Xenopus tropicalis: one gene and its partners. The protein of the gene in region 1 interacts with the protein of each later gene in a biochemical or structural test. Links are inferred from orthologs where the notes say so. Each region holds a gene or a part of one and is shown on either strand. Other genes may lie near its edges.

Region 1 (4,060 bases):
AACAAAAAAACAATTGTTTTTCTATTTTGTGTGCCTTTTTCTTGTGCGTCTTTTAGACAAAATGATACACAAGTTAAGCTTGGCCACCAAGTTGCCTAATAATATGCTGAACAAGTCGCCATGTCCACAGGAAAAAATAATTGTCTGATTGATAGTCTTAATGAGGAAAGAGAATATACACAATGCAGCCATAAGCAAATCGGTACTGGGTGTTAAGCTGCTGTTTACTGAAAATGAAGAAGATTTGTGATTGGGAGAGCAATAACTGAACTGGGGAACAGTGAGGACAGAGGGCACCATAGCTACAACATGGTAACACCCAAAAAGTATAAGGGAATGATGCTAAAGAAACTCTAGGACAGTGATCCCCAACCAATGGCTCATAGCAACATGTTGCTCACCAACCCCTTGGATGTTGCTCCCAGTGGCCTCAAAGCTGGTGCTCATTTCTGAATTTCTGGCTTGGGGCAAGTTTTGGTTGCATAAAAACCAAGTATAATGCCAAACAGAGCCTTCTGTAGGCTGCCAGTCCACATAGGGGCTATTAAATAGACAATTATTGCTCTTATTTGCACCACCAGGAACCTTTTTTCATGGTTGTGCTGCTCCCCAACACTTTTTCCATTTGAATGTGGCTCACTAGTATAAAAGGTTGGGGATCCCTGCTCTAGCATATAGATGTAGTAATTTAGCCAAGTTTGCCTAAAGAGATGGACAACCTCTGTGTAAGAACAATCAGCACTCCATTGACTGGCACATAAATAATATTTTTGACAGCAATACAGTTACACTGCACAAACACCATACAAAATTTACCTTAAGATTATCAAATGATCTGAAAAATCAGGAAACATACAAAATACCCAACTAGCAGAGCTGAACTGATTGGCAAGTTACTAAAGTGCTAGGAAATGCCATCAGTGCTGCCCCACAAGTTGGGTTTCCTATTACTGGTCCTGATTTTCAATTGTTCTAATAACCTTATTTATCCTAGCTCTCGGGGGCACCATCCCATGCCTGCCTGCCACTAGTGGTACCCTATGAAACACATAATGCGGCATTATGGATGCAGCCAAATACAATTCATGTGACCGAGGCATTTGTGGCACATGTACCCTGCATTTAAACTGACGAGAAGACATTTAAAAATACCCTCATATACTAGAAAGGAATATTGTCTAAATGAATGTCTTGTTTACATGTCGGGGCAGGGACCTCCTTCCTACTGTGTACTTAAATTGTAAGCTCTACGGGGCAGGGACCTCCTTCCTACTGTGTCTCATGGCACTTATATATATATATATATATTAATTGTATTTATTTATTATATCACTTGTCCTCCCTTGTATTCTGTGAGATTGTACAGCGCTGCGTACCCTTGTGGCGCTTTATAAATAAAGTTATACATACATGTCCACTTGATGCTGGAACTATACAATAACATTTTGAATGGACAAATTTACAGTCTATTAAATCAAAGCCCAGGACAAAGAGAGAAACCATAGTAAGTAGAAAATATAACAGCTTAAATAGCAAAGGAAAGATTTAAAGTACATTACCCAGTGAAGTTTCAATATATCTAACCATGGAGTGAGGAACATGAGCCGATCTGGTCTATAATATTGACCATAATCATACGTATGCATCTAACAGTGTTTTTCCTACCATTTTTCAAGGGAAATAGGCTCTAGCAACGGTGATTACTGGGAGAACACACACTGCCTCTGGCATAGGAGGACTCTTCTTCCCTTGCAGCAGGAAGCATCAATCTAGAACATGTTCCATGCTGCAGCTATAGCCTTAGGGCACTGAAATCCAAGAATGTAAAGCAGCCCATATGAACTGAGAGGGTTTTGCTCTATATTCTGTATACATATACTGGGGGGCACAGCGCATCAGCACATGAGGAAGTGAAGGGGAGATGAAACGGCGCTTTACTTCCTGGTGCTCCAATCGTAACAATGGGAGGGTGGCCGTATAACTGTATAGTCCCTCCTGACGTATCTTTCCATTCGCTCCTGGGTTGATTGCTGGATATTGATGAGTATCAGTTAGTAACCGGACATCTAATATATATATATATATATATTTTTATTATTTTTTTTACACTACAGGATTTAAGACTCATCACTGCGGACGAAGGCACCTTGGCCCAAACGTTATCCATTTTATATAATATTAGCACTATAATTTGCTGACACATTTACAATATATTACAAACATGGACCCTTATGCCAATTGTGCCCCCAGCACCCAGGGAACAGCTGGAGGGCAGCAGTAAAAATGAAACCCCAAATAAATATCTAGTAATCAGAGACCTGCAGAAAGATTTATCTAAGAAACCCAATGAAGAACGAAATGAGTCCAACCAGCTGTTATGAACTACAGTATCCGACATCCTCTGCGGGTCTTGTAGTCCCCAGCAGCTGGGCCGCTATGAGGCTGACATGCCACAGTTCCAGCCGAGGAAGGTGAAAATTCCACCGCAGAAGAACGCGTAGATCCCCAGAGCCCCAGGCCAGACGCGACACACTGCGATTCAGCGTCTAACCCCATTCATTCGAATTAAAAATAAGCGATAGAAGCCCGTCACTTACCCGTCTCCCACGACCACACATTTAATGGCCTGCATGGCTGCGCTGGCAGCGGATCTCCCTGCAGCCCGGGCGCAAAAGCGGATACAGATGAAGGCTGTACGTATGGCCCAAGCAAGCTAGGCCGCGAAAGGGCTTCAGTAGCTCAGAACACACCCTCTCTCTCTCACTCACGACTCCTTCTCCTTTGCTCTCCCTTCAGCGTCTATGAAGGAAAAACCTAGAGCAGCCAGCGCCCGACAAAATCAACTCTTCGGCGAGATAACAGGAAGCTTCCCCGCCTGCGTCACTTCCGGCCTCGCCTCGAAAGCCCGCGGGAGCGAGTGGGGCGCGCCCAGGAGTCGGGAGCGCGCATTGAGTGACGTCACTCCCTTAGCTCTTCTGTCGGGCAACTGGCTGGCGGCGGAGAGTTATGGGAGGTGGAAGGGTAGTTCCAGGGTTCTTTTAAGTATTAACATGAATATTAAAGATGTGTCAGTTTTACCTTTATTTTCTCTGTAACATATGTGGCAGACCAGCAAAAGCGCTCTCTTTCCCCTGCCTCAGGGGGAAGAAACAAAAATACCGGGGCCGCTGCTGGCCAAATGGGTGCCCTAAGCAGAAATTTACTTTTGTGCCCCCTCTCCCAAATATTACGGAAGTAAAAATAAAATAAAAAAAAACACCTACTATGGGGGCCCCACACACAGTGCCCCCAATTGCCCCCATAGACAATGCCCCCATAGTAAGTAAGTTATAATATAGAAAAATGTTTTTTTTTTTGGAGTAGCTGGGATGGTGCCCCCCTGGGAGTTGGTGCCCTATGCAGACTGAGTACTCTGCTTATAGGGAGCGGCGGCCCTGAAAAATACAAAAATAGACAATGCTTGATAATTGCCTCTGTGTTTTTGCAAATGCAGCTGTTAGTATTGTCTATGGCAGGGTATATTCTGGCGCTTAGTAGCCCTGACAATAGCTACTACTAAGTAGCTTCCTATGTTTTTATCCTAAGGGCCATGACACACGGAGATTAGTCGCCCTGCAACAAATCTGTGTTGTTGCGGGCGACTAATTTCCCCGCAATGCTATCCCACTGGCTAGAATGTAAATGTAAATCCGGTTGGATGGCATACGCGGCACCGTGATTTGCCGAAGTTGCCTTAAGAGAAAGCTTTGGCGACTTCGGCAAATCACGCCACCGGTGATGTACATTCTAGCCAGTGGAATGGCATTGCGGGGAGATTAGTTGCCCGTGACAATGGAGATTTATCATGGCCCTAAAGCTACATGTATTTTAGGTGGGTTTTAGGCCCTTCCAATAATGGGGGGGTCATAATTAGGTTAGACATGGGAAGGGGGGCACTCGCTGTGAGTGGTGGGGTCCCAAAAAGAGTGACTGACCCCCAAGAAACGTGACTTGCCTCCTTAGCCAGTTCTCTTATGCTATAGTTTCTAAAAACATTTATTTTAATGGAATAATTGTAAAA
Region 2 (3,973 bases), on another chromosome or scaffold:
GCCCCCACCCACCCTACTGCCCCCACCCACCCACCCTACTGCCCTAACTCCCTGCTGCCCCCACCCACCCACCCACCCTACTGCCCCTAACTCCCTGCTGCCCCCACCCACCCACCCACCCTACTGCCCTAAACTCCCTGCTGCCCCCACCCGCCCGGTACCTGACACACACTCTCACACACACTCTCACACTCTCACACACTCACACTCTCACTCACACACACTCACACACACTCACACACACTCACACACACTCACACACACTCACACACACTCACACACACTCACACTCTCACTCACACACACTCACACACTCACTCACACACACTCACACACACACACTCACACTCACACACACTCTCACACACACACACTCACACACTCACACACACTCACACTCTCACACACACTCACACTCACACACTCACACTCACACTCACACACTCACACACTCACACACACTCACACACACTCACACACTCACACACACTCACACACACTCACACACACTCACACTCTCACTCACACACACTCACACACACTCACACACACTCACACACTCACACACACTCACACTCTCACTCACACACACTCACACACTCACTCACACACACTCACACACACACACTCACACTCACACACACACTCACACACACACACTCACACTCACACACACTCTCACACACACTCACACACTCACACACACTCACACTCTCACACACACTCACACTCACACACTCACACTCACACTCACACACTCACACACTCACACACTCACACACACACTCACACACACACACACACACTCACACACTCACACTCACACTCACACACTCACACACTCACACACTCACACACACACTCACACACTCACACACACACACACACACTCACACACACACACTCACACACACACACTCACACACACACTCACACTCACACACTCACACACACTCACACACACACTCACACTCACACACTCACACTCACACACTCACACACACACACATACTCACACTCACATACTCACACTCACACTCACACAGTACCCCGGTACCTGACACACAGACGCCGCTTCCGGTCACATGGGGGGAAGGTCACAGGGAGATAACGCGAGAGGAGGGGGAGTGGCTCAGGCGGATCATGTGACCTTGCTGGAATCACGTGACCGGGGCAGCTGAGAGAGAGAGAGAGAGGGAGGAGCCGCGGTACCGGGTAACACTGGGGGAACTGGAGGGCACCACGAACCGGAAATACCGGGACCCCGGAGACTATGTAAGGCCCAGGGTATCCCCTGTCCTACCCCCCTGTCCTACCCCCCTGTCCTACCCCCCTGTCCTACCCCCCTGTCCTACCCCCCTGTCCCACCCCCCTGGGGCAATCCCTGTCCTACCCCCCTGTCCTACCCCCCTGTCCTACCCCCCTGTCCTACCCCCCTGGGGCAATCCCTGTCCTACCCCCCTGTCCTACCCCCCTGTCCTACCCCCCTGGGGCAATCCCTGTCCTACCCCCCTGTCCTACCCCCCTGTCCTACCCCCCTGGGGCAATCCCTGTCCTACCCCCCTGTCCCACCCCCCTGTCCCACCCCGGAGACTATGTAAGGCCCAGTGTATCCCCTGTCCCACCCCCTCTGTCCCACCCCCTCTGTCCCACCCCCTCTGTCCCACCCCCTGTCCTACCCCCCTCTGTCCCACCCCCCTGTCCTACCCCTGTCCCACCCCCCCTGTCCTACCCCCCCGTCCCACCCCCCTGTCCTACCCCCCCTGTCCCACCCCCCCTGTCCCACCCCCCCCTGTCCTACCCCCCCCTGTCCTACCCCCCCCTGTTCCACCCCCCTGTCCCACCCCCCTGTCCTACCCCTGTCCCACCCCCCCTGTCCCACCCCCCCTGTCCCACCCCCCCTGTCCCACCCCGGAGACTATGTAAGGCCCAGTGTATCCCCTGTCCCACCCCCTCTGTCCCACCCCCTCTGTCCCACCCCCCTGTCCTACCCCTGTCCCACCCCCCCTGTCCTACCCCCCCGTCCCACCCCCCCTGTCCTACCCCCCCTGTCCTACCCCCCCCTGTTCCACCCCCCTGTCCCACCCCCCTGTCCTACCCCTGTCCCACCCCCCCTGTCCCACCCCCCCTGTCCCACCCCCCCTGTCCCACCCCGGAGACTATGTAAGGCCCAGTGTATCCCCTGTCCCACCCCTCTGTCCCACCCCCTCTGTCCCACCCCCCTGTCCTAACCCCTGTCCCACCCCCCCTGTCCTACCCCCCCCGTCCCACCCCCCCCTGTCCTACCCCCCCCTGTCCTACCCCCCCTGTCCCACCCCCCCTGTTCCACCCCCCTGTCCCACCCCCCTGTCCCACCCCCCTGTCCTACCCCCCCTGTCCTACCCCCCCTGTCCTACCCCCCCCTGTCCTACCCCCCGTCCTACCCCCCGTCCTACCCCCCCGTCCTACCCCCCTGTCCTACCCCCCTGTCCTACCCCCCCTGTCCTACCCCCCCTGTCCTACCCCCCCTGTCCCACCTCCTGTCCTACCCCCCTGTCCTACCCCCTGTCCTACCCCCTGTCCCACCTCCTGTCCTACCCCCTGTCCTACCCCCCCTGTCCTACCCCCCCTGTCCTACCCCCCTGTCCTACCCCCCTGTCCTACCCCCCTGTCCTACCCCCCCGTCCTACCCCCCCGTCCTACCCCCCCGTCCTACCCCCCCGTCCTACCCCCCCTGTCCTACCCCCCCTGTCCTACCCCCCCGTCCTACCCCCCCTGTCCTACCCCCCCTGTCCTACCCCCCTGTCCTACCCCCCTGTCCTACCCCCCCCTGTCCTACCCCCCCTGTCCTACCCCCCCCGTCCTACCCCCCCCCGTCCTACCCCCCCCTGTCCTACCCCCCCTGTCCTACCCCCCCCTGTCCTACCCCCCTGTCCTACCCCCCTGTCCTACCCCCCTGTCCTACCCCCCTTGGGCAATCCCTGTCTGTTACTGTCATTGGTACCTACCCCCACCCCGACAATATCTGCCCGGGGTACCTACCCCCCTAACTATAACTGCCCAGGGTATCTACCCCCCTAACTATAACTGCCCGGGGTACCTACCCCCTAACTATAACTGCCCGGGGTACCTACCCCCTAACTATAACTGCCCAGGGTACCTACCCCCCTAACTATAACTGCCCAGGGTACCCACCCCCCTAACTATAACTGCCCAGGGTACCTACCCCCCTAACTATAACTGCCCAGGGTACCTACCCCCCTAACTATAACTGCCCAGGGTACCTACCCCCCTGCGTGTAATCACTGCCAGTACTAATGAATGGTCTGTGTAATGGCCTGTTACTGTCATTGGTACCTACCCCCCCCCCCCCACCCAAAAAAAAATATCTACCCAGGGTACCTGGGACAGACACAGGGAAAGGGACAGACACAGTGACAGTTACACATAACTATAAACCCAGTGAGAATGAGGAATGAATGGATATTGGGGAGTTGTATCAGGAGTCAGAACCAGCAGTGCAGGGAAGGGAAAGGGACAGACACAGTGACAGTTACACATAACTATAAACCCAGTGAGAATGAGGAATGAATGGATATTGGGGAGTTGTATCAGGAGTCAGAACCAGCAGTGCAGGGAAGGGAAAGGGACAGACACAGTGACAGTTACACATAACTATAAACCCAGTGAGAATGAGGGATGAATGGGTATTGGGGAGTTGTATCAGGAGTCAGAACCAGCAGTGCAGGGAAGGGAAAGGGACAGTGACAGTTACACATAACTATAAACCCAGTGAGAATGAGGGATGAATGGATATTGGGGAGTTGTATCAGGAGTCAGAACCAGCAGTGCAGGGAAGGGAAGGGACAGACACAGTGACAGTTACACATAACTATAAACCCAGTGAGAATGAGGAATGAATGGGTATTGGGGAGTTGTATCAGGAGTCAGAACCAGCAGTGCAGGGAAGGGAAAGGGACAGACACAGTGACAG
Region 3 (2,528 bases), on another chromosome or scaffold:
GGCCAATATATATTTATCCTGGAAAATCCTCCTTTTTTCAGACATAAGCAGAATGGTCATAGCATTGTGCAACCATAGCTACATTGTCCTCTAAAAAGCCAAGGCAAGTGCATTAAAAGGCAAGAATAATTTCCAAATAATATGGGATGCCTAAAGGTGGCTATACACTGATCCGCTTGTTTGGCGAAGTGGACAATATTGGGCTAATTTGATTGTTTGGCCCTAGGGCCAAAAAAACAGCGGGTATAGTGTCACATACGTAATAAATACCTTTAACAGTAACAAAATATGAAAATAAACTCTATCCATCGAGTGAGTGAGTAATATTACTCACCCACTCGACGGGTATTGGGCTTGCATGACTCTGTCCTCTAGCAGTGATTAGGTACCTCTCTTTTCTCTCTTCTACTTACTGTAACATGTCTGATGTTGCCCCGTTACACTTTGATTTCTTTACTGATAATTAGATTTTAGTTTAATATTTCGTTACTGTTATAGGTATTCGTTATGTTTGTGACACTCTATAACCACCTCTTAATCTGTAGTAGCTTGGAGTTTCAAGATGATCAGATATATGTTCTTTGCACTGTCTATCCTACTGCTTGTGTACAGAGGTTTCCTTGATATATATATATATATATATATATATATGTATATATATATATATATATATATATATATATATATATATATATATATATATATAAAGAATATGTATTAAATGCACTGCTATTTAGATATGTGTGTAAAATGTATCTAACTAGCAGTGTTTTTAATAACACCACATTCCTGATTCTATCTGCAGTAGGACATAGTGCCCTTTTGCAGCGGTTTGCTGTAGAATTATGCAGTATATTTTCATTTCCTGTTTTTATTATCTCGCTGGCTATCAAAAAGGCTATAATACAATATTTATAGAACTGTCTATAACCGCAGCAGCAGCTGTTTTTTTTTTGTTTTTTTTTTTTAGAGCAAGGTATTTCCAGTCAAATCACATATGAACTGTAGTTTATCAGTGGCCCAATAACACACCCTTCCTACAGTTGCAGATTATGCATTTAAAGTGGACCTGTCACCCAGACATAAAAAGCTGTATAATAAAAGTCCTTTTCAAATTAAACATGAAACCCAAAAATAATTTTTTTATTACCACATCTATACCCATTATAAAAGCATTTTAAAATCCCAGCTGTCAATCATATATTGCCTGCCCCGCCTCTATGCCTTAGGCATAGAGGCAGGGCAGACACTTACTTTCACTTTCAATTCAGAACTTCTTAGATGTTGCTGCTCTCCTCACATTCCCCCTCCCTCCTCACCATGTAATTGTGTAATCAGTGCATGGATATGGGCATCAGGTCCCTCCACACTGGCACAGAAACAAGATTTTGGCAGGATGCAATGCCTGCTTTGATAACAGTGTCCACAAAATGGCCCCCGCCTGCTTACTGCTATTGTGAATTCCAAGGCTGAAGAAAATAAGATTAAAATAATTTATATAGTGTAAGTAAAGTTTATTTTGCTTGACAAACACAATAGAAAACAATTTGAAATTATTTCTTAAGGTGACAGGTCCGCTTTAAGTAGGCTTCTAATATGTAGAATCACTTGTGAGGTATAATTCATCACATTTCAGTTTATTGATCTTGCGCAATAAGTTTTTCAATAATCATTTTGTATGTTCTACTTCACACAAGACTAACAATATTAAGTCGGTGTTGCTTTATGCGTTATGTACATTGCTATTTACCTTGGAATTTATTAATTTCATTGCAGTTCCCGTGTACCTCATGGTGGCTTTGCATATATCATGGGTGGAAGTGGGCTACAAAATTTCACCATAGCAGCAGTAGCATATACACCAAATCTGTTGCCAACGTCAAGCACATGGTAGGTATAGATATGAACAGAAAGTACCAGCCGGATTTATATATATATATATATATATATATATAATATATTATAAAAAGTCCTCACGACAGCACTTCATTCCAAAATGCTAGTAGATAGCCGCCCTTGTGCACAGAATACAAAATAAAACACAGCCAGCACCATAGTTCAAAACAATCTTAATTGTATTGCAGGCTGTATATGCACATGTAAATATACTTTTTTGATTTTGTTGCAGTGTTGCTGGTCTTTTTTGTATGATATATATATATATATATATATATATATATATATAGATATAGATATAGATATAGATATAGATATAGATATAGATATAGATATAGATATAGATATAGATATAGATATATATATAGATATATATATAGATATATATATAGATATATATAGATAGATATATAGATATATATAGATATATATATATATAGATATATATATATATATATATATATATATATATAAAAATGTAAACTCTCCAGTGGAGAAATAAAAGTCAGCAGGGAACTTACAATTTTATGCCCAATTCCAAGTACATGGATCTTGGTGTGGATTGGCAAGCCACCATACATCTACTGAAAGTTGTGCAAAATAATATTATAGCTACTTTAGGCTTAAGATAT
Region 4 (4,257 bases), on another chromosome or scaffold:
TCAAATTTCATTATGTATTTTAAACACAACTTGCTGCATTTTTCAGAAAAGAAGAAATTAGTGGGTTGAGTAACTCACTCAACCCACTAATTCGTTGCGGTCAGGGTCGGACTGGGCTGAGGCATTGGGGGGAACCTGGGGAGGTGCGGTGCCCCTTGGGCGGTAGCCCCGGTGGGCCCTGCACCCCCCAGTCCAACCCTGGTTGCAGTTTAAAAAAAAAGCATATAAATGCACAAAAAATGCCCAAGTGTTAGAGACCTAGAAATATAAAGCAAAGACAGATCAGTGATTCCCAATTGGGGGCTACAGACCTCTTGTGTACTGTGATACTACAGGACATTCACTTGTAAAAGAAATAGAAGTCAAATTTTCCATAGCACCTATTATTGAACTGTATTTTTTAACATGTCCTTCCCTCCCACGCTTCTGTAAAAATAAAACACACACACTATATATATATACATATATGTATGCTAGTATGCTTGTGGTGGTCTGCTGACCACAAACAGGAAACATTATAAAACAGACTACGAAACTGACACACAAAAGCATATGCATAAGTGAGCTGTACCATACATCAGGGTTAATAGAAATAATCATATACAATGGATGAAACAGCATAGTTGAATACTTCCATCTTCAGCACAACAGAGACTACACAGGAGATTCTGTAGGATCTTGTTGGATGGACAGATCACTGCATACAAATTATATTTAGTTGCATGGGTCAAAAAATAATGGGAGGATAGAAAAATCTGATGTGTAAACAACATGAAAGATTTGCCACTGAACACATTAGGTTTGTCACACACAAGAATGCTACATGCTGCATCTGCATCCTACAAGATAAAAGCTGATGGTGTCTGAAAGGTTTTTTCTCATTGAAATACACTGACTGCCATTGGACGTAAATGCAAAACAAAACACACTTTATCTGATCCGACTTAAGGTGGCCATACACGATAAGATATGCTCATTTGGCGAGGTTGACTAATGAGCGGATCTTCTTACGATATGCCCACCTAAAGTGGCCAATATTGGGCTAATCTGATCGTATGACCAGGGGCGATTCTGGACATATCGCCGCCTGAGGCGGCTCCTGGATGCCGCCCCCCCCCCCCCCCCGCTCCCCAGCGCTTACCTTCTGAGCGCAGGAGTGGGTCCGGGGGCGGTGAGTTCGCTAGTGCGGAGAGCGCAATTGCCGAATTTCCAGCTTTTTGCCGCCCCTGGTAAGTGGGGCGCTTCTGCCGCCTGAGGCGAGTTTCTCAACTCGCCTAATGGCAGAAGAGCCCCTGCGTATGACCCTAGGGCCAAATGATCAAATTAAAACGGTTGCTATATGGACTGTCAGACTGAGATCTGCATCAATGAGCAGACGTGCTCCCCGCTCCGAAGGAAAAATCAAACCTGTCCAATCGAGTCTGAATCTGAAATTTGCCAGTGTATGGTCACCTTTACGTTAAACCAGGGGAATACGATTTTGTAGGATCTTATGGGTCATATAAAGTCTGACCCACAAAATCTGTTCAAAATCTCCCATGTAGTTAAGCCCTAAAGCAACAGGTGTACAAGTTGATCTCCTATACTGTATCCTCAGTCCATTGTACAGGCATGCAAGGTGATCTGCCAAGTGTGTATACTTGCCATCCACCGTCCCATAAAGTATGACACATTTGTTTACTTCCCAACATGATTATCACATCTAATATTTCCTCCAAAACAACTGCCTGGGCTGCAAGTTCAACACATTTTGCGACCAATGCAGCAGAACTTTTTTGAACACAAGACACGCAACAATAAATGCAGAGGAACATTTGGAAATTCTTTACAAAATGATGGACAAGTGCAGCAAAATAATGACATGAATGAGCTGAGCAAACATTTCCTAGCATAATGATCATGAAAAAGGCCACACAAAGCATTGCAAAAAGGACAAAATCAGATATGTGGTGCTTATATTTGATTTCGTCCTTTTTGCAATGCTTTGTGTGGCCTTTTTCATGATCATATAATAGGAAACGTTTCCGTTAAACTTGATTTAATCATTATCCCTTGTCACACCTCAGTAGCAGCCTATACTATAGGTGGATTCTGTATCTTGTGACTTTAATATCCCCTTTGTGCATCAATTACATTGTACCCCCTTACTCTTATGCCTCACACCTTTAGGGGACTGGTAGGGCAGAGATGTCCATCCATCCTGTCACCCTACAGCTTATGATAAATGAGGACTCCCAAGTAGTCCTGTGGTGCTGAGAGTTATAGTTTATGACCAGCTAAAGAGCCACAGGTCTGACGCACCAATGGCACTGGCACTGGGAGAGTGACAGAAGAGTAGGCAGCTGAAGCCATGTGCAGGGAAAGTGCCTAATGTCCCCTCACATGTGAGCGCTCCCTAGAGCCAGCAGCAGCCTCCTGTAGGAAAATGAAGGCACTTGTCACAGAACGGAGCAGAGACAGCAATCATTTCCCCGGAGACAGAAGCTGTCAGGAACCGCGCACTAATCCCGCTCTCACCTGAGGACACAGAGGAGCCGGACAGGCTGGAGTTGCTGGAAGCAGCCATCCCAGTGCTGGACAGCAGAAGTGTAGAGGAGCGTCGTTAGCCCATGGCAGTAAGCCGCCGCCGCTGCTAGCCAGCCACCCACTACTTTCCCAGCACTTCCTGCTCGCTCACATGACGTTGGCGCTGCTGCTGCTTCTTGTGCTCCGCCGCTGGGCAGGTGTCACGGTGCCAGTGGGCGCTGCTCCCTGCTGGGACACACACTACAAGGCTCCTGTCCCTTCCTGCATGGCAGCCTGTGGCACAGCAGCACTGACAGCTCCGGAGAGGGCCGCCCCCTCCCAGCTTAGCGATCTCTCAGGCTGCACCCACTTAGCGGGAGATGGTTCTGGTGCGGTAGCCTGCTGAGAGGTGGGGCCCGTCCCCTGCTTAAACGCATCTTCTACCTGTGGCTCCATTGCTGCCCCCAGGACTGGAGGCTCAAGTTACAACTGAGGGGCCCTGGGTGCCTCATGTTTGACAGCTCTCATTATCATCCTTGAGCAGAACAGCAGCTCAGTCACATCTGGGAGACTGGCACCTTTCTGGGGCAAAGTTACCCTCAGAGACCATAAACAGAATGGGCTGTGTCCTCCCCTGTACAATAGCAAGCACTGGGGGTACCCAGAGACATGATGTAAAGGGGATCCATGGGCGTCCACAGAAAATTTTCTGGGTTGTGAAGTAAAAACAACCTGTTTTTATGGGCTAAGGCGTCCGTTTGCTAAAATTGCAAATATTCATGTTATCGAATAGTTTTGCTTTATGGCGTTTATTTTTATTGACACATTTATGACCAGATATGCATCTTCAAAACTGATAAACTTTATTAAGTGATTGTGAAGATACCATCAACAACATAATAAACACATTTTACCCAATCATAGTAACATAGTAAGTTGGGTTGAAAAAAGACATACGTCCATCACGTTCAACCATAATGCCTATATATAACCTGCCTAACTACTAGTTGATCCAGAGGAAGGCAAAAAACCCCATCTGAAGCCTCTCTAATTTGCCGCAAAGGGGAAAAAATTCCTTCCTGACTCCGAGATGGCAATCGGACCAGTCCCTGGATCAACTTGTACTAAGAGCTATCCCCCATACCCCTGTATTATCTCACTTGTACTGAGAGCTATCTCCCATAACCCTGTATTCCCTCACTTGTACTAAGAGCTATCCCCCATACCCCTGTATTCTCTCACTTGTACTGAGAGCTATCCCCCATACCCCTGTATTCTCTCACTTGTACTAAGAGCTATCTCCCATACCCCTGTATTCCCTCACTTGTACTGAGAGCTATTTTCCATAACCCTGTATTCCCTCACTTGTACTGAGAGCTATCTCCCCTACCCCTGTATTCCCTCACTTGTACTGAGAGCTATCTCCCATAACCCTGTATTCTCTCACTTGTACTGAGAGCTATCTCCCATAACCCTGTATTCCCTCACTTGCTAAGAATCCATCCAGCCCCTTCTTAAAGCTATATAATGTATCAGCCAGTACAACTGATTCGGGGAGGGAATTCCACAACTTCACAGCTCTCACAGTAAAAAATCCTTTCCGAATATTTAAATGGAACCTCCCTTCTTCTAAACGGACTGGTAAATAAAACATTAGAAATTTTATTATATGATCCCCTTATATATTTTTACATAGTTATCATGTCACCCCTTAAGCGCCTCTTCTCCAGCGTAAACAGACCCAACTTGGCC
Region 5 (3,500 bases), on another chromosome or scaffold:
ACCTTGCATCCTTTTTCCTGCCTTCCAGCTACCAAGTGAGCACGCACACGTAGGGAAGACAGCCAGTGTAAAATTGCAGCTTAGGTGCCAATCAAAAAAAATTGTGGTCAGGTCATTTTCTTTATTCTTCTACAGACAAAATTATCCTCATATGTATACCTCATAATCTTATAGGGATACAATTACTTGCAGGCTATTAATGCACTATTACAGAACCTTATATGCAGTACCACAGGTGCTTCATGTTTTGAATTTTGCTCTGCATATAAGATCCATGCATTGGAAGTAAATAACATCCAGAGTTGATGAAGGCCATACATGGCTTGCAGTTCAACTGATCATCCTGCAATCTTTTATGTGCCTGTGCACCATGCTGGTGAGTACATCAGCAGAAGAGAAAGTGAATAAATGCCATAGCTCCACTTCACTACCTGCAGTTCAGCCCATTGGCTGGAATGTGAAGGTGACTATACACGTGTATCAACACTTGATCAGTATCTCTTCATTCGGCCAGTGTATAGTCAACTTTATTTACAAGTAGTTTTCAAAGAGCAATTGCACACAAGCCTATTTTAGGCTCTTTAGTGCCATGTTTTTTCAACACTTCTTAAGGGATAGTATTCTGGAAATGCAAAGAGTTGACACAATTATGCGATTAACATAAAAATGTATGGTGGGCTGCTTTGAGAGCTTTCAAGTATAAGGGGACTGAATTTAAGGGGTACCAAAAAGTAGGGAACTTAAAGCACCCGACATAGCCTTTTATGTATGAAAATGCCATATTTTTAAACTGAGCATAATGCACCATCAGCAGCTCTATAAAAGTAATGGACAAATTAATAACATATATATCATAAGACTATGATATCAGTTCTAAACAGGCACCAATTATTAGTTAGTATTAGTATTACTGGTTGTATATATATAGTTTATGTATGTGAGTGTATAGATTGGTTAGTATAGGTTGTGTGCTGGGTTTACTCGGATGGGTTGAACTTGATGGACAATGGTCTTTTTTCAACCCTATGTAACTATGTAACTATATGTAATTACCTCGCTTCCTGCACATTGTATCATAACCTGGGACATGTATATAACTGTGCCTAATGTCTTAATGTCTTCCCCCTCCCATCCACGAATGGTTTCTGTCAGGATTTGCAGCTCCAATTCTTTTCTTTTTCTTACTTCTTGACACTGCGCCTATAGAAGCAAATAATGGTTATTACTAAACTATAAATAAAACCCAGACTTCAAATGCTTATGTAGCACCAATTTCTTACTATAAAGTGCTAAGATAATTGATGCTTCAGTGCACAGAGTAAAATAAATATTGTAATTAAATAATGGAATTAATTTATTGCTCTATACATAATCAGCAATAATTCATAATAATGCCCCATATTCTGTTCCTGCTAGAGACTCCAATTAAATAAACAATTAATCATTGAAATTAAAAAAAACATGAAAGGAAATAAGTTATAGAGAGGCACATGAGATGTGAAGATTACTTGAAACTTGCTTTATTGCTACATAAGATTGAGTTTGGTGCCGGGTTTACATTTTTACTTCTATGAAGCAGTGTTTTAATGTTTGTGCTTTTTCTTAGATTATAAAAATTCTACTAAATAGTAGCAGGTGTTTAAAGGTGAAGGAAAGTTAAAATCACTGGGGGCTGCTGAATATTAGCCACCACCCAGTCATTATAATCACTTATCTTATATTCTAGGCCGGTACCCTGGGTAACCTCTGTATGAGCACCAAATAGCGATCTTTTTTTCCCCGCTTCTTTTTTCTGTTTCCCCAGCACGTGTATAGTAGAGAAGAGGTATTAGGCACCCACAGTGATCACTGGGAGTGCCTAACAGTTGGCACTCCCAGTAATTTTAACTTTCCTTCTCCTTTAAGGACACAGGGTGCTAACATGGCAGGTATTGGCAGGTGATGAAGTGTCCACCAATACCTGCCCCTAAACCTTCCCTAAAATTTCCACATGTAAAACACATTACATGTATCATTCCCTAAAAATCTAAAAAATGCCTTCTTCTGCATTTTTGGACAATTCCAGGGAAAGTGAAGAGCCAGGTGTTGTTGAGCACTTCATCACCCATGGGAGAGGAGATTTCCAGCCAGGTGACGAAGAGCCCCATCTCGAAAACCTTGGTTTTGTAAACATTATTTGTTGTTATTTTTTTTGCCAATATATTTATTCGTACATATGTTATTCAGCAGCATTCATGCTGTGAGTCGCAGAAAGGTTTCACCTGATCTCGCAGGCTGATATCAGCAATCTAAGGCTGATGCCAGACGCAGGCACATGTAGCCAATATACGCATGAAAACACGAGACTTTGCATTATCTCGCGTTTTCATGCGGATATCGGCTACATGTGTCTGCACCCGAGCGTATCTCATTCATTTGGGTGCAGGCACAAGTAGCAGGCGTAGGGCTGTATTTTCGCCAAGCGTTTTTCCGCTTGCCGAAAATATCAGCCCTACGTCACGTCTGGCATCAGCCTTAACAGCACGGTTGCACTGTTTTTTTTAGTAGGACAAAAAATGCTGGATTAAAAAAAGCATACTAACAAACAAAAAAAGTACAAAACCTACTTGTGAAAAAGTAGTAATTAAGCATGAACTACACCCTGTGGTAGCCAGATGTATAAAAGGAAATATTTCAAGAACAAGTCCAGTGTACATCATATCACCAAAATAAAAATAAATGTAAACTAAACACATGGTATACATTCAAAGCCTGACTCTTTCCCTAAATATATAGATGATTTTATCTTACAGAGAGATTCTTAAATGCAGTCATAGACTTCTGGATATCTGGTCGATCTGGGTGATAGTCCTGAAACAAACAGGTACAAAAATAAACATCATACTTTTTTCTCAGACAAGCAGTAAAAAAGCATAAAGGGCCACAGCACCCTCAAATCTTCAGCACAAATGTTTGCTCAAAGCAGATAAATACTTACGCAAGAATACATGTATGGAATCTTTGTACAGGCTATAAGATAACCCAGGGAGTAGTGCTTGGTAAGAAGAGTTCAATTTACATCTTGTCAATGACCCCAATAATATAATGCCCCACCCCATAACCAACTGTCGACACCCCCACCTAGAGGGAACTATATTGCAATACAAAGAACAACATAGCTGCTGTGATTAATCAGACACAGTACTCCTCTAGCCAGTTTTATATTCTGCATTACTTCAGTCAATCAAGTAGAGTTTGATCAATCAAGTGGTTGGCCCTTAATAATTAGAAAGAAGGCAAACTGGAAGGACCATGGACTTTGTATATTCAAATTGCCTTTCTTTACCCACTAGGAAGGAAGTTGAAATGTTCTTGGTAAATACTGGTGTTTTACCTGTCACCCCAATAAAAATTAACAGATCAATACAAGTGCAGTCATTTCTCATATAAACAGAGAACAGATATGCCTGAACAGTGAGGCTCTAGTCATAGCCACTGAAGATTCACTGAATAAAATCAGT
Region 6 (3,500 bases), on another chromosome or scaffold:
CCCTGCTTGTGTGTGCCATACTCTACCTGCCCTACCCTGCCTGTGTGCCATACTTTGCCTGCCCTATGCTGCCTGTGTGTATGGCACACATAGGCAGCATAGGGCAGGCAGAGTATGGCACACACAGGCAGCATACAGTGACACAATGCTGGCACTGCTCCTACAGTCTGCACAATAACTATGTATTAAAAAACTTTCTAATTGCAGTACCACATCAGTATATGTTCTTTTTATAGTGTGCAGAGTTTCTACTGCTCCTACAGTCTGTCTGATGTGTGAACAGTTGAACAATATGGGTGATTACAGCCTGAGCCAGTAATGATACCATTTAAAGCTTACACAAAGGTAAGCCATCAAAGCAGCCAGAAAGGTGGGGGGCCACACAGAGGGGGGTCGTGGTCCACCAGTTGGACAGCGCTGGCTTAGGGTATGCATTTGAAAACTGTTCAGGAATGATTTTGAGAAAGATGGCTCATACTTACCCCAAGATATAAAACTGTTATTACTATAAAGCGTGTCTCGAAAAAATATTAATGTGCCAGGATTAAATACTTCAATAAAAAAAACTGAATATTTCAGTATTATTATTATTCTTATATTATATAACTTAAAACAATGTCACTTTAAAAAAAGAAACAAACAAAAAAAGACCAGATGTACAGTATATCCTCCTATCTTTCTCTCTACAGTATACCAGGATCTTTGGTACCATACCGGAGCAGGTTAGGGGCCCAGACAATTGCCAAATTTTTAGTGTGCATATTGGTGATAGAGCAGTATGTCGCAAGTCTTGATAAGTGGCGCATAAGGAACTCCAGTGTTCTATTTAAATAAAAAAAATAAAAAGTTATGATTTAAGGTTCAACATAAGTGGGAAACAGCACAAGCCATAGATATTGTCATAGCACACAAACACATAGTGGCAGACTTATCTAAATGTGAGTTTAGAGCGTAACACATACAAACTTAACCATGTTCTATTCATTCCTACTGAATTATTAGAAACATATTTATTAGAATGTGGGCAAGTTATGTATTAAGCTGCCCCATGCTGTAGACCTGTGCAAATCTGACCTATAGTCACTACCCTGATTCAGTCCAGATAAGCTGTTCATAATAACATTTCTTTATCCTGGTAACTGTAATATTTAAAACTTTTCATTGTGAGCTGCTCCCACAGTAATGGGGATCAGTGGGAAAAGTCACGTCAGAGTGAAGGGCATTAGCAATAAAGCAAGTCTAAGAATAATTCAAAATCTTTCGGTATGAGTAAGGCTGCTGTGTTTCTTGATCAATGTGTTTTAAAAACAGATCCTAAAGTGATCAATATATAATTATGATTTATGACAATGTTATGATGAGGTATAATTATGTATGATTAAAATTGACAATGACATAATGTACACAACCAAATCTTAATGCATGCCAAAAAAAGGGATTGTTCTATCAACAGATGTATTTAGTTCTCTGTGTTAATAAACTCTTATTCTCAATACATCTAAAGAAATATTATTAGTGTGCATTCACTGAAAAATCTAAATAGTTATTTTGGATACAAATGTGTAATGGAAAAGCAGTCCACTAATAATATTTAGCAGCATTTTAAAAGTAAGTTCTTGGTTTCCTAAATGTGAATAAATTGAGCATGTTTTCAACTAAATATACTGTATATTTATATTTCATCCCATCAGCAATTAGGTTTGAAAGTTGCAAGTAAAACTTGCCTGCTATGTTTCTGAGGATTACTAGGAGTGACTTTTGTCTATTTTAGTCTCTAATTTCTTTAAAAATGTTAATTGTTCCATGTGCCCAGTAATGGCAAATTATTGTCTATTGTCTAAATTCTTTAATTTCTTGGATGCCTTCTACAAAATTTGGAAGTTAGTTACTACAAGACCTGCTACGTTTAAAAAGCTAAACTGTGTAGTGGCTGGCTCTTCTACTTATCTGCTGATATACAGAAAGGTTTAGAAGCTTGCCTTCATGACTAGTAAAAAAAAAATTATAATCGCACTGAACTTAGCATCTGCCCAGTACCCTGCTCTGACCAGGTCTGTTGTTGCCCTAACCACAAGCAAGTTATAGGAATTGTCTCTCTGCCGTTCTGCCCACTCCTACTGTAAAGCAGAAAACAAGGTCAGACGCCAGGCCAATTTCATTCTTGGTCAGGGCAAACACAGGGTCTGCCAGGTAAGAGAAGCAAGATGCACTCAATAAGCAAGCAATGCTTGGGAGGGCTGAAGCACTAGAGCTAAGTACCATACTAAAGAAGTTTTCTAAAGCTGGCCATACATGGTAAGATCTGCTCGCTTGGCAATGTCGGCCAGATGTCAGACGGCAGGCCTGTCGTTCATGCCCATACACAGGCAGATAAGCTGCTGAATTGGTCTAAAGGACCACATTAACAGTTACCCACTTGATTTGTTAAAGCTTGCTTTTTCTTACTAAAGACATTTGCCCATTCAAATATTAGAAAATAACAGTAAAAAATTAGTGATTTGGCAATTAATTCAGGGGAATGGGGGACTTTTAGTACAGGAATGTTGTGCCTATGTATGCAGTATTAAGAAAAGCAGACATACAGTAACAACAGTAGATGAAAGGCCTTAACAATCATGCCTTTTCATGATCATGTTTTATCTAAACATTCCTTTATGCTATGTGAGCAAAAAGAAAAAGTCAAAATAAAGGCTCAACTCTACTAGACTGTAATATCTTACATGTGCTTAGAACTCAAAGTATATAATGGTTAAAAACCCTCTTGATTATCAAATTGTGATATAAAGCATAAACGAAAACCACCTTAAACACACACACAGACTTAGGGTCTTTGAACTAACCTGTAATGAGGTGGGGGAAGCTGTTGAATAACATCATGAATTTTCACCAGTCTCTCTTCATCAGTAGCCGCTGACACAGCATCCTAAAAGAAAGAAAAGCACAGAACAGGGAGTCAAAAATTTTGCATAGTATTTTAGTATAAGAACTTTCCAAACAAAAACATAATACTGTTTTAACCATCTACTGCCACAGATGAAATATAAACCCGACAGCCAAGCACTGTAGATTTTACATTTACTGGTTCTTTGCTAATTTATGTGAATAACATATTGCTAAGCAATGCACAACTTTGGGCTCTGGTACACGGGGAGATTAGTCGCCCGCGACAAAATATCGCCACTGGGATGGCATACGCGGCGGTGCGATTTGCGGCAACGAGAGGCAACTTCGGCGTTCGCGCCGCCGCGAATGCCATCCCACCGTGTACCAGAGCCCTTAAAAATTAATGTAATGAAAGGTGCAAATCCATAGAAACCAATCAGCAGCTATCAATTACTAGTCACCCGTTTGAAAACAGACATCTGATTGGCTATTATGGGTTTCAACACCTGGGCAAATGGTTACCATTGTCTTAAATTACGATGATAGCATCTTACGTGGCTAGTGAGTAAAAGGCTAAGGGCTGTGACAGACAGGGAGATTAGTCGCCGCACGACAAA
Region 7 (3,500 bases), on another chromosome or scaffold:
GTAAAACATATTGGGAGAGTCCATACTTGATAACTTCAGAGAAATAGTTGTTGGGTCCCGTTGCAGGCACAAGAAGTGGAATTCTGTGGGAAACTGCTTGCTTATGTAATTTACAGGTGATAGCTCATAGTTATTTATAACTGCTGTTTAACCAAGTCTCACCATTAAAACATTTGTTTCTGGATAACCAAAGTAATCTAGGTTGGAAAAAAAATTACATACCCCCCATCAAGGTCAACCTTTTCCTTTAAAAAAAAATCTGCCTAACTGCTAGCTTTAAAGTCTATTATTTAAACAAAATTTCCCCTCAGGAGGTTATGAACAAACTCCTTTGAGCATCCTCCCACAGCCTTAAAAGTTAATTTTAGGGGATGGCATACATGCAAAAATCTCTATAGCTTTTACAACCATTTGTTGTGGAAAAATGGAAACACTTTACCAGGTCCGTTAATTATTAATCCGGTAAAGTGCACATCACTATCTTACTTACTGCTATTACAAGGAGAAAGGGGATTTTAAGGGGATCTATACTAATTTTGAATTATGAGTAACCCCTACATGAACTTTTCAGCAGTGTAATAACTAGTTATTGGGCTCCACGGACCAATGATCACTGGCCCTTAACTTTTGGAGACAAGACATTTTCCCTAAACAAATCAAATTCCCATTGGGGCCCTTAAAGCTGGCTAGTCGGCGAGGTGACCGATATCACAGACGACTGCCGATATCGGTCAACTCGCCGATCGGGCGGGTTAAAAGATTTTGATTGGGCGTCATTGAAGACGCCTGAGCAAAATCTACCTTCAGGGCTGAATCGGCAGAAGGAGGTAAAAATCCTATTTTTTCTACCTCCGTATCTGACGATTCAGCCCTGAACGTCTGTGGAGGGTGGGAACGATCTTTCGATGCACGAAAGATCAAAAATCGCCACGTGTGGCCACCTTAACAGTTGCAGTATCAGTTTCATATAGAGCTACATCTCAGCTATTCAGTTACATTATTTTCAAGTTTAGTAGCTGTAATTGAAGAAGAAAAAAAAAAAAAAAACCTGTTGTACTAGCAAAACCTAACCAGCTGCTAGTTGGTACTACATGCTTGTGTTCATGGGGAGGAAGGCCTCTAACTTGGGAAGGGGTATTGGCAATGTACATATTATACCACTTAAGTACTGTTTATATGTATTACTTCCACACACAAAATAATAGTTCCCTTCATAGTTACATAAAAAATAGGCATGCACTCTAAAATTAGACTTCTATGAGGAGAAAACCAACTGATATATCCTACCTTTTTCTGTGCCAGAAAACATTGAAATAATTTTATTCCTGGGTTTTTCAGGGATTAAAGGTAAAGGTTTATGACTGTGGTTGCTGGTCAGAGGATCTTTTGTCCCTGTGCTGCTAATCCGAGCTGGAGGAGCTGGCGGCTTATCTTCAAGCTCCCCGTTATCAGACATGATTCTTGCAGAAAAGTCCGATCTAGACAAAAAGTGTAAAAGAGTGTTAATTTTCTAGTCAAAAAAACACACACACACATATATATATATATATATATATATATATATATATATATATGTCTCCCATGCCGCCCCCCCCCCCTTGGGTCCCCTGTTGCCATGGGTCTGGATGGACCCTCTATAGTAGGGTTTAAAATGATCAATCATTCCACTATCCAGAACACCATACACAACTGGAGAACATTTCAATCAACTGCCAACTTGGTCTGGCCCAAGCAAGTTGGCAGTTCTCGGCTCAGGCCCAGAAGGCAAAATACTGAACGAAGCTCACAACACCAGAATTTTATCATGGGACCTAAGGTAGCCCCCTCACCACTACTGATGTCAAATACTGTGTAAATTAGATCTACATGGGAAGTGTGCATGGAGGAAACCTATGGTGTCCAGAAAAAATATCAGGGTAAGACTCTAATTTGACAAGGACAAGAACCTTTGGACAGATGAGGCAAAGGTAAAATTATTTGGCCACAATACCAGGAGACAGCGCTTTACTAGAAGAACCTGATACCAACTGTAAAGCATGAAGGTGGAAAGAAATGAAGGATTCTGGAAAGGCCAAGTCAAAGTCCAAATCTAAATTCATCCGAGATGATGTAGGAAGATTTCAAATGGGCTTTGCATGAAAAATATAACCCTCACACAATTTAACCCGCACAAGACCCTAATCCGCCCTCTCCCAACCAGCACCCAACCCGCACTTCTGTTCTGCAGCCATTTATATACACATGCCCTCCCCATCTCTAATATCATGGAGGGGGAAAAGTGAGGCAGGTTCGCATATATAAACAGCCATTGCCGGTGGCTCGGCCAGAACCCACGCTCGACCTGGATAAGTTGTGTGTTGGCCCAAACCTGTCTGCCCCCACTGCTACAAAGCAGCTTTGTTTATATAAAAGTACAGTAGTCTTTTTGAGGCAAACACACCAGTTTTACCAGTGCAGGGCAAGAGTACATTATATTGTAATTACTTTTATACATTCATTTTTTTGGTGTTACTGTTCCTTTTTAAATTATAGAGCAAACAACTTGGCTTCATTTTGGAACTGACCTTACTCTAAATTGCACTGTTACTGATAAAACAGCTAGCTGTTAACATATGACTGGTCAAAAAGTGTTGCTTTTGTATAGAAAATATTTTTGCATAAAAACATGTAAATGATGTATCTAGTATAAATAAATTTAAAGCAACTGGACTTATTTGGTAATCATTGAAGACGTTTCACTACTCATCCGAGCAGATAATGGATCAAAACCTATATGATAGTTGTCCCATGGCACAGGAAATGTCTTCAATGATTACCTAACAAGTCCAGTTGCTTTAAATTTATTTATACTAGATATACCATGACCTGGATGAATGAAAATCTTCATAGACATGTAAATGATGTCTTTCCTGCGCCATGGCAAGCAACGAATCCAAACCCGCACTCCCTCAGCCCTCCAACGGAAACTCACCGCTCGGCGCACAATGCTAGAGAGGGATCGGCACCCTCCCCACAGATTCCAAACAAGCAAACAGCAACGGCACTCAAGAGCTACATACGGGCCTTGCCCTTAAAAAATTCTTTATTGCGGAAATGCAACCTGCGCCATGGGACAACTATCATATAGGTTTTGATACATTATCTGCAATACTCAGAATCTGGTATTATTTCTATAATTTGTGCATCTTAGTTGGGATAAAATACAAGGAACTGGTTTGTAATTTCAGAAAAGGGAAAAAAATTAGAATTACTTGCTTAAATTGATTCCTATACCTGTTATAGTAAAGTGCCTTTACCAGCTTGTGATAGTCTCCATACAAATCAATTACAGACAGCACACACAAATACGTAGGGTAACACAGGAAGGTTTCTGAATTATGCAAAATATGCCTCAACATCAAAATTACCCCCAAAATGTTTTGCCTCTGAGATTGAACATCTTAATAAATTCAATATTGGTGAGGATTTAGGTTGTGCAGAAGGCATTTCCTGCATTGCTT

What was found.
Region 2: the proteins of rac1 (region 1) and arfip2 form a complex in vitro, tested with the Homo sapiens proteins (2 studies listed by BioGRID and IntAct, with this or other methods). The link is inferred for Xenopus tropicalis from reciprocal best matches to the Homo sapiens genes RAC1 and ARFIP2.
Region 3: of the proteins of rac1 (region 1) and hace1, one has a biochemical effect on the other in vitro, tested with the Homo sapiens proteins (5 studies listed by BioGRID and IntAct, with this or other methods). The link is inferred for Xenopus tropicalis from reciprocal best matches to the Homo sapiens genes RAC1 and HACE1.
Region 4: the proteins of rac1 (region 1) and chn2 form a complex in vitro, tested with the Homo sapiens proteins (2 studies listed by BioGRID). The link is inferred for Xenopus tropicalis from reciprocal best matches to the Homo sapiens genes RAC1 and CHN2.
Region 5: the proteins of rac1 (region 1) and arhgef7 form a complex in vitro, tested with the Homo sapiens proteins (2 studies listed by IntAct). The link is inferred for Xenopus tropicalis from reciprocal best matches to the Homo sapiens genes RAC1 and ARHGEF7.
Region 6: of the proteins of rac1 (region 1) and arhgap32, one has a biochemical effect on the other in vitro, tested with the Homo sapiens proteins (3 studies listed by BioGRID). The link is inferred for Xenopus tropicalis from reciprocal best matches to the Homo sapiens genes RAC1 and ARHGAP32.
Region 7: the proteins of rac1 (region 1) and pak2 form a complex in vitro, tested with the Homo sapiens proteins (2 studies listed by BioGRID and IntAct). The link is inferred for Xenopus tropicalis from reciprocal best matches to the Homo sapiens genes RAC1 and PAK2.

The regions. Positions count from the first base shown.
Region 1 is NC_030685.2:25,457,283-25,461,342, reverse strand, and holds the start of rac1 (ras-related C3 botulinum toxin substrate 1), read right to left. Parts: upstream 2,801-4,060; 5' UTR 2,633-2,800; coding exon 2,598-2,632; intron 1-2,597. UniProt on the Homo sapiens protein: Plasma membrane-associated small GTPase which cycles between active GTP-bound and inactive GDP-bound states.
Region 2 is NC_030678.2:180,359,225-180,363,197, reverse strand, and holds the start of arfip2 (arfaptin-2), read left to right. Parts: upstream 1-1,173; 5' UTR 1,174-1,273; coding exon 1,274-1,275; intron 1,276-3,973. UniProt on the Homo sapiens protein: Plays a role in constitutive metalloproteinase (MMP) secretion from the trans Golgi network. May have important functions during vesicle biogenesis at certain cargo subdomains, which could be predominantly utilized by secreted MMPs, such as MMP7 and MMP2.
Region 3 is NC_030681.2:80,251,619-80,254,146, forward strand, and holds part of hace1 (E3 ubiquitin-protein ligase HACE1), read left to right. Parts: intron 1-1,776; coding exon 1,777-1,890; intron 1,891-2,528. UniProt on the Homo sapiens protein: E3 ubiquitin-protein ligase involved in Golgi membrane fusion and regulation of small GTPases. Acts as a regulator of Golgi membrane dynamics during the cell cycle: recruited to Golgi membrane by Rab proteins and regulates postmitotic Golgi membrane fusion.
Region 4 is NC_030682.2:43,310,564-43,314,820, reverse strand, and holds the start of chn2 (beta-chimaerin), read right to left. Parts: upstream 2,801-4,257; 5' UTR 2,567-2,800; coding exon 2,518-2,566; intron 1-2,517.
Region 5 is NC_030678.2:116,924,943-116,928,442, forward strand, and holds part of arhgef7 (rho guanine nucleotide exchange factor 7), read right to left. Parts: intron 2,851-3,500; coding exon 2,791-2,850; intron 1,201-2,790; coding exon 1,054-1,200; intron 1-1,053. UniProt on the Homo sapiens protein: Acts as a RAC1 guanine nucleotide exchange factor (GEF) and can induce membrane ruffling. Functions in cell migration, attachment and cell spreading. Promotes targeting of RAC1 to focal adhesions. May function as a positive regulator of apoptosis.
Region 6 is NC_030683.2:72,452,810-72,456,309, forward strand, and holds part of arhgap32 (rho GTPase-activating protein 32), read right to left. Parts: intron 2,924-3,500; coding exon 2,841-2,923; intron 823-2,840; coding exon 715-822; intron 1-714. UniProt on the Homo sapiens protein: GTPase-activating protein (GAP) promoting GTP hydrolysis on RHOA, CDC42 and RAC1 small GTPases. May be involved in the differentiation of neuronal cells during the formation of neurite extensions.
Region 7 is NC_030681.2:129,792,990-129,796,489, forward strand, and holds part of pak2 (serine/threonine-protein kinase PAK 2), read right to left. Parts: intron 1,479-3,500; 5' UTR 1,457-1,478; coding exon 1,288-1,456; intron 1-1,287. UniProt on the Homo sapiens protein: Serine/threonine protein kinase that plays a role in a variety of different signaling pathways including cytoskeleton regulation, cell motility, cell cycle progression, apoptosis or proliferation.